Linked DNA regions of Bombyx mori. The protein of the gene in region 2 interacts with the protein of the main gene of each other region in a pairwise test. Links are inferred from orthologs where the notes say so. Each region holds a gene or a part of one and is shown on either strand. Other genes may lie near its edges.

Region 1 (4,232 bases), on a different chromosome or scaffold from region 2:
GCAGCCGCTGTAACTACATATACTGAGACCTAAGAACGTATATCAGGTGAGTGGCGCATGGCGCATATACGTTGTAGATGTCTATGGGCTCAATTTTTTTTTTTTTTTTTTTTCCGTGCCGATTGCCGAACCTCCTACGAGGTCCCCGCGCCTAGGGGGCGCGCGGGGTATGTGAGACTCAACGATCTGCAGGTGTTGAGAGCAGACCGCGGGCCCAAGGAATATAGGGCCCACCCACTAAACGACTCCCCTGCACTCTTACACCCGGCGTCCAACTTAACGCCAGGTGGGCTGTGAGCTCGTCCACCCACATAAGCAATAAAAAAAACTGGCCCTATCAAGAGCAGTGCTTGAATTTACTGTATGGGTCTTCACTGGCCCTTATCTATAAGAACCTGGTACAAGTATTCACTAGTGGGAGCTGAGACTTAAGAGATTAGAGCTGTGAATTTTGTGCCACAAATGGGAAAATGCTTGGAGATTCAATTGTGATTTACAAATGATAGGGGATAACAAAGGACGCAATTCCGAAAGCGAATCCACTGTAACCATTGCCGAAATGATGTTGAGGACTGATATCGATAATGTACTGCAGTTAAAGGTTCCGACACATGTGTCAAAGGTGTACTAAAATTGTACAATGTTGGAACTAATTGCTCATAGCGACATATTTGCTATGTGTATGTGGATTACTATAATTCTCATGTTGTATTTGTTATTTTAGTTATGTGTTATTTGTTCTACACACACTCATCACTTTTTATTATTATTCTCATTATCCTCTCGCAGGTATGCTGGAAGAGATTTCTTAAAGAAATAAGCAGTGCCTTTGTACATAATTTTCCTATTACTCTGTACTATGTTTTCTTTTCTGTGTGTACATAAATAAATAAATAAAAATAGACAGAAAGTGATAGTGGAAATAAATACTTCATGGTGAGAGGTCTTTGTCATTCATAATGAAAAAGCCAGCTGATAAGTTAGTACACAAAGGTTTTTGCATGTTTGCAGTACCCTTAGAAATACAGTGACCAAGTGCAGAATATTGAAATAAAGTTAATGAAATTGCTTATCAGATTCAGGAATTCAGAGTAAAGTTGTACATGTATGATCAAGTGGCAAAACATTATGGATATAACTATACTCATAGCAAGCTTGTCTAAGGAGGAACAGTGCTATGCTGGTATGAGAAATGCAGGTCACCAAATAGCAGAAATGCTTATCAAAAGCTGTAATAGTCTCAGGAATATTCGAGAAGTGTAACTCCATCTATTCTCATATAGCGAACATAGGTATTGAAATAATAAGTACTATCAATAGCGTTCTCGTAAATTGTTGACATTTCATGTTCACTATAATGGTGTTGCACAGACAACATGAAGTAGTTATTATTGTTAGTAATCAGTTCTACTAGAAGCAAAACAGTGAGCGGATCACCTGAAGCACAGCAGAAAAAATGAATTAGGAATTGTGAAGTACATTTAAGAGTTCTAATAATTAAATTAAGTTTTAATTTATACTTCAGTTTAAAGTTAAAGTTAAGTACTTAGTTTTTATTTATCCCGAGTCCATTGCAAGAATATACCAAGATTCATGTTCCAGTATCAGTATATTATTTTCATTTGTAAACTTATAAATCGATGCCTCCAATGAACACTACTCTAACTCCAAATTCGTAGGTTTACAGGAGGAGAGTTTAAATGAAAAAAGTTGATAAATATATCTGCAATAATAAAGATTTTATGGTTTTTTCTTGTGTAACTAGTTGATTTACTCTTGCTTCAAACCCCATTAATAATGAATTTGTAATACTTTTAAAATAGTGAAGCGATTTGCGTGAAAAACGAAAATTTCAAATTTTGAATTAAGTAGTGTTCATTGGAGGCATCGAAATGATCCAAAACGCAATATATATAAAATGGTGATGGTAAAATGCATTTACCACAAACATGACAAATAATTTTAATTTTATTGAATGAAGGCTATGTTAGATATAAAACAATTTTACCTAAAGGCAGTTTTTACTTTGATAAAAACATATTTCAGTTATCAGTACGCCCCGGCTTGGCTCTGCCCCTGGCATTGCTGAAGTTCATGGGCGACAGTACACCATCAGATGGGCCGTGCGCTCGTCTGCCTAAAAGGGCAATAAAAAAAAATGTTCTAAGGGACGAAAATTGACTTACTTTTATGTTTAGGCTGGCATATTGTGACCCAGACTTGATCTCTCCAATGGTGACTTTGACGTCATCGCTGTCGTCCGAGTCAGAGTCACCGTTCTCTTGGCTATCAGCGTCACCATTTTGATCCTCGCGCGTTACCTCAGCAAAATGCTCATCATTTAATTCCGAATCGTTATTACCTTCCTCTTCATCTTGATTTTCTTCGTCAGCCTTTAAATAAAGTGAACCGTGTTTAAATGTAAAAAAACTTATGGAACTTTACAAGCAATAAGTAGTTAGGTTATTAACTTACACCACCGACGACGTCGGCCGATTTTTGTACTTCTTGAGTTTCCTCAGTGGATTCTTGGTTAGCATCTCCGCCAGAATCCCCGTATAACCAATTATCATCGTTTTCATCGCCCGGTGTGGTCTCAATGGCCGTTTCTGCCATTTTAACAAGTTATAAACTTGAAAATAACGAAATTTGGAACGACCAATGGTTTTATATTATGTACTTATTAGTAGGTAACAAACATAATTTAAGTGGTAATTTCAGTAAAATAAAATGCAAATTGTAGGTATATGGTACTCTTTTTTTTGTTTGTAACAACAACACGCTATTAGACAGCTATAGGTACCTACGTGTGTATTATCTGTTAAACAGCAACCATAGATCAAATATAAGTGTATAATCTATGACCATAGATTATGTTAATACTAAAGCGCCTTATTCACGATCCATCTTGCTGTACGTCCCGCCAAGGCCATGCACGATGCACGATGCAAAAGGATCATGAATAGGCTTGACGTACGTCGATAATTATTATTAATTGTTTGCTGGATTTGCACGACCGATTTTGCGTCCAGCGAGTGCCCCCACCACCGCGAGCGTCGTGCAGATAGACAGTGAATAACGCTGACGTACGTCAGAGCGGTCCTGCGTCGTGCGTGCTTGATCGTGTATAGACTTGCTGTACAGCAGATTTAACATTTGTAGCTTGTTTCGAGAGGAGACTGCACGTCAAAATGGATCGTGAAACACTTTCAAGATTTGAGTCGTCTATTATCAAAGGTGGCAATCTGTGCATTTGGACAAAAAAAATTTATTGATATGTCAATACAGATTCATTTGAATATAATCGTCTCCTTCAAAGAATACGGTTCAAAACCTGCATTAAATAAAGGTTAATAGTTAACCTGTTATTTATCTAAGATGTCGTTCCGAAGAGTTTTGTGACTGCCAATGGAATACAAAGTCAATAATTCGTTTTTCTGATTTACCAATCATTGTCCAAAAGTAAGATTGCCGGCTTTGATAATAGTCGACTCATTTATTGAAAGATATAAGTTCCACATGTTTGTGAAATGTCTCAAGCGCAGACTATAATAATATGAATAAACAAAAAATAATAAACTTATTACAATTTTTTAGGCCCATTTTAGGGGAAGCTGCAAGGATTGATAGCGTGCGTAAAAAATGATATTAATTATTTGAATATACTCTGCACGTTTAAAAAAATCATCCAAAACCTCTTGCTATTATTTGCCTCTCTTCTGCTGCTGCTGACAACATCAGAAGGACTCCCATTTTTGGCGTTTTGATAAAACAGCTGGCATTTTAAATAAATTAAAACCCTCTCATTTAATTCGTTCGATTTATTCTGTTCGCGCTTGATACATCCAGCACCGCGGCCTTGAGCTGACGTACAGCCGTGATGGATCGTGAATAAAGCGCTAAATGCATCGTGCATCGTGCATGGCCTTGGCGGGACGTACAGCAAGATGGATCGTGAATAAGGCGCTTAATAAAGTATTAAATTTATTATAATATTATTGAAGGTAGTTTTCCAATTGCAGCACTAGAGCGCATTATGCGGCATAATGCACAACGTTGAATGTTCTAAGTTCCAACTACAGCAGCGCACTCTGCTGATGCATTAAAGTCGTCGTGGCCTAAAGGATAAGACGTCCGGTGCATTCGTATCGAGCGATGCACTGGTGTTCGAATCTCGCTGGCGGGTACTAATTTTTCTAATGAAATACGTACTCAACAAATGTTCACGATTG
Region 2 (4,302 bases):
AAATAAATTATAAGGTTAATTTATTTCCATTTGAATTTGTATGTACCTTGTACCTTTAAGAGAGCAATAAATAAATTATTATTATTATTATTATATATTAATATTAAGTATTAGATTACACAAAATGTTAAAATAATAATTGTTTTAACAAATCATATTTGTTTTTACAGACTGAATGATCAAACTATGGTAGTCTAATTTTGATCCCTTTTTGTTTTTATCAGCTAAATATATACCTTAAAATATAATAAAAAATTAAGCCTTCTATTTTTACCTCCGGTTATGTTCTGTATCCCTTTTCATGCTGAGTTGGAAAGCTATTGGTTCTCCTTCTTCCACTTCCACTTCCTGTGGTAATACTATTGCTGTTTGTTTCCAGTGTGTTGCCAAACTATTTGGACTGGTGTCCAAAATTATACGATTCTCGTCTTTCGTTTCAGACATACTGGGAAAATTGCATTCGAACCATAGACACAAGCCTTCATAAGAACCAGATTTTTTAGCTCCTGAAATAGGGACTTTGACTCAATTACTGAATAACAAAATATAAAAAAATTGAAACTTTTACATTTAACTTAGATGTGTTTTAATGGAAATACATAAGCATTATAAAAAGATTAAATACCAACAACATGCTGGATGCTGAATTCATTCAAATCAGATGCACTGTCTTCCCTCAAATTAATCCAGCAAAGTGCTACTTCATCACCAAGCAAATCCTTTTGCTCTATATTCAAAATTTCTGGTTTAGTGGATTTGTTTTTGCGAAGATGTTTAGCAAAAGCAGACATTGATACTCCATGCACATTGTTCCATTTGTTGTATAGTGAAGGTATGCTGCAAGTAGAAACAGAAGGTATAGAGATACTAACAAATTGTTAATGTTATTTCAACAAGTGTTTCATCTTGACTTCTATGACAAAAGAATAACACTGTGGAAATAGTTGAACCCACAAAATTTATAAACTTGAAAATTACTGGTGGAGGAAAATTTTTTTTTAACCCTTACATATTGGTGTCATTGTGTTGACTCCTGTTGTAAAGCAGTTGTACATTCCAGTGTGAAAGGTAAGATAACCATTGTATATTATTATTGAAAGTTTAATGTCATGTCTCAAGGGGGTAAAGTCTATGGGCCCAGGTGGGCCTTAACTCATTAACCTGTTTATTTTATAAAAATTATAATGAAAAGAAAGTCATATTAGGATTTATACAATTTGCCTTACCTACATGGTGCAACATAAATAACAGCCGTTTCAGGAAACATTTCTCCCCCTTCCTTAAGAAACTTATCTCGAGCAATTAGCACAGAATCTAACATACCTTCATGCAATAGATAAAAACCCATCCATTCAGATACTATCACATCTACTTTTATGTTATTTGGTAATATTACATCTTCAACTTTACTGTGAATTATCTAGAAAAAAAAAAGTTTTTAATTATTTATATCAGTCTGTAGTAAGTGGTTCTTGTACAATTGAAACTTCTAAAAATTGCCAGAACAAAGACATATGAAGTAAAAGAAGAAACCAACCAACTGATGATACCAAAAGAAGAAACCGAAAGTCCTATGTAATATTGAAACGCTAATGGAGATTTAACCCAAGATTTGGTATTCAACTATTTTTTTATTTCTTTTTTTATGGAGTTTTAACAAATAAATGGTTACATAGATGTCTACAATACACAAGAAGACATTACAATTGGAAATTTTGGGTTTCATAATTTGTGCTTCAATTATGAATTGAATTGAATATGAATTTTTGGTAATTTTTTAGACATCTTTGTTACTTTTTTGTTGTACACACAGGTGAATGAGACTGCAGGCTCCAAAGACCCTTTTCCTTGAGTGATTTTAAAAATTTATTCCATCAGATTAAAAATTATGAGCTTGTGTTAAATTTATATTTCTTTGGTAAGACTGTATCTGTCTGCGGCATTTGAACACTGATATATTATTAAAGTTGTATACAAGTAAACCTGGGTTCTTTTTTAAGCTACAACATTATATCTCATTAATGATTTCTATTGACTCGATTCAGTAGTTATGCATACACATAATACAGTATTTTAATGGTCATTGTTCGCAATCTTGCCATTGAGATCCTTAAAGACTGACCTTTATGCCCCCACAACAAAGTCTGTACAGTGTATTCAAACAAAATTAATTCTGTTACTGTATGTCATTTCCACAGGACGATCAAAATGTTAAAAAATTGCTTCAAATAAAATGTGTACTACTGTTTGGTCTACAATAATAAAAATTTAATTTGGACAATACTAACTTCAATAACATTTTCGAAACCATTCTCTTTCACAATTTCTCTAGCTAAATTCGCTAAATTACTTGCTTCCACGGCATATACTTTTTTAGCATCTGCTTGGGCGCAGAAAACAGATAAAATTCCTGTGCCACATCCAACATCCATTACTATTTTATCCTTGAAATAACATTTATTCCCTAATATCGCTTTCTTATAAGCTAGGTTTCTTGGTTCGTCTTCTAACATCAATGTATGCACCTGTTGAATTAGATAATATAAAAAAATATTCAGTAAAGTTAGTCTTTTTAGTTTTTTTTTTATAGATTAACCTCTAAATCTTCATAGCTGTTAAAGTAATTGTTCTGCACTTCTTCAGTTTCCATTTTACTTCTTCGCTTAACTTACGAACTAGTCAAAATATTTCGTTTTTTATCAATGAAAAATAGATAGGTAATCGAAAAACAAATAAAACAAAAATATTGATGTACGGAAATCAATCCACAAACTAGTTAGACGTAGTGTTAAATACTCTTTGAAACTAGTCTTTGCCATAGATTTTTTTGGTACAATTTTTCCTTATTAGAAAAGGCAAGAGGATCTAAGCCCATACAGCCTTTTACCATAAATAAGACAATAAGACGTGTCATTAAGTGTACTATGATTCAAAGCTTTGCTAGCTTTGCTTTGTTAAGCAGCTAACTTCAATTTTCAAAAAACCTATCAAAAAAGGTCTAGGTTTAGCAGTGGTTTTATTTTTTATTCAAGTTTCATAACGGCTTATTGACGGTTTAAAATCTGTAAAAATGAAGCAAATTTACTGAATGAAGACTAGAGTTTTTCTAAAAAATCTAACAACTCTCCATGAATTTCCACTACTTAGAAGCTCCTAAATTTCATCTCGTTCAAAATCTATGGCACTATCTTATTTCACCACATTCACTTTAATTTAATTTATTCCGTTATAAATTTTATTTTATTCAGTTCCATTACACTTTTAATACAACAAACATTTAGGTTTTGTTTCAACATTTTATAGGGTTCCATTTGCTCGTTAAATAGATGAAACGAATAAAAGTGATCTCTACAAATAAAGTGAGTCTATGAGTAGGCTGTATGAGCTTAGATCCCCTTACCTTTCTTATAGAGGAAAAATTGTACAAAAAAAAATGTCTATGAGTTGGTCATAGACAGATTTAAACGCTAATATTGCTACTTTTTAGCAAAATGACAAATAAAATTTAATATTAAGATAGGTTATGATAAATCGAGAATATAAATTAAATGTTTCTCAATATAAGAAGATGGCTAAAGAAAGTGATATGTCATTATACAGCGATGTGCTTGAACCATTTCGTAGGGTCATAAACACTGAACCACCAAAAGACAAGTTATCGGCGTCTACAAATCTAAACTTTTCTGATAGTACTCAATCTATAAAAGAAGGTATAGTGAGAAATAATTTACTAACTATAAATGTTAGCACATTTGAGAGACATCTGGTACAATGTAAATTTAAGTTCAAGAAATACATTTAACCTAAAATTGAAAACAAGACGAGTGATCGTTGTTTTCATGTCTATTGTTCGCTGTTTTTCAATTTGTTGATTTTTTTAAATTTCTGTTTTCCAAGCGTAATCATTCGCGTTAGTTTGAAAAGATTGATTGAAAGGGATAGTTGAAAGGCAATGTATGTCCATCAGTCAGTCAGTCATTCAGTCTTAATAAAAATAATATCTCATAAATATTTCTGCCTCTGTTATTAACAACAGAATCACCATTAGTTAAGTTTGTCACCTTTTCAATAAACTGCAGACGTTCAGAAGTAAAATGTCAAAACTTAATAAGTTTATAAACATTAAATAGGCCTCTCCAATCTACTGACATTTGGTAAAAGAAAGTCGAGTATCGGTAGCGTAGATGATGTGACACCAGATAAGAGGCTTAGAAGAGACTCAAGTGGTAATGGAACCACAGCACCACCATCACCATGGGAAACAAAACGTTTGAAGATTGATCTGATTGCTGCAAAAGCACA

The links. The genes of interacting proteins can lie anywhere in the genome.
Region 1: the proteins of uncharacterized protein LOC101745013 (region 2) and pre-mRNA 3'-end-processing factor FIP1 interact in a two-hybrid assay, tested with the Homo sapiens proteins (2 studies listed by BioGRID and IntAct). The link is inferred for Bombyx mori from reciprocal best matches to the Homo sapiens genes PRMT2 and FIP1L1.

The regions. Positions count from the first base shown.
Region 1 is NC_085121.1:13,342,839-13,347,070, forward strand, and holds the start of pre-mRNA 3'-end-processing factor FIP1, read right to left. Parts: upstream 2,836-4,232; 5' UTR 2,617-2,835; coding exon 2,476-2,616; intron 2,394-2,475; coding exon 2,187-2,393; intron 1-2,186.
Region 2 is NC_085125.1:5,641,249-5,645,550, forward strand, and holds the start of uncharacterized protein LOC101745013, read right to left. Parts: upstream 2,820-4,302; 5' UTR 2,651-2,819; coding exon 2,597-2,650; intron 2,526-2,596; coding exon 2,289-2,525; intron 1,421-2,288; coding exon 1,227-1,420; intron 838-1,226; coding exon 626-837; intron 507-625; coding exon 275-506; intron 1-274. Other genes in the region: mitotic spindle assembly checkpoint protein MAD1, read left to right, coding at 3,524-3,710, 4,131-4,302. UniProt on the Homo sapiens protein: Arginine methyltransferase that methylates the guanidino nitrogens of arginyl residues in proteins such as STAT3, FBL, histone H4. Acts as a coactivator (with NCOA2) of the androgen receptor (AR)-mediated transactivation.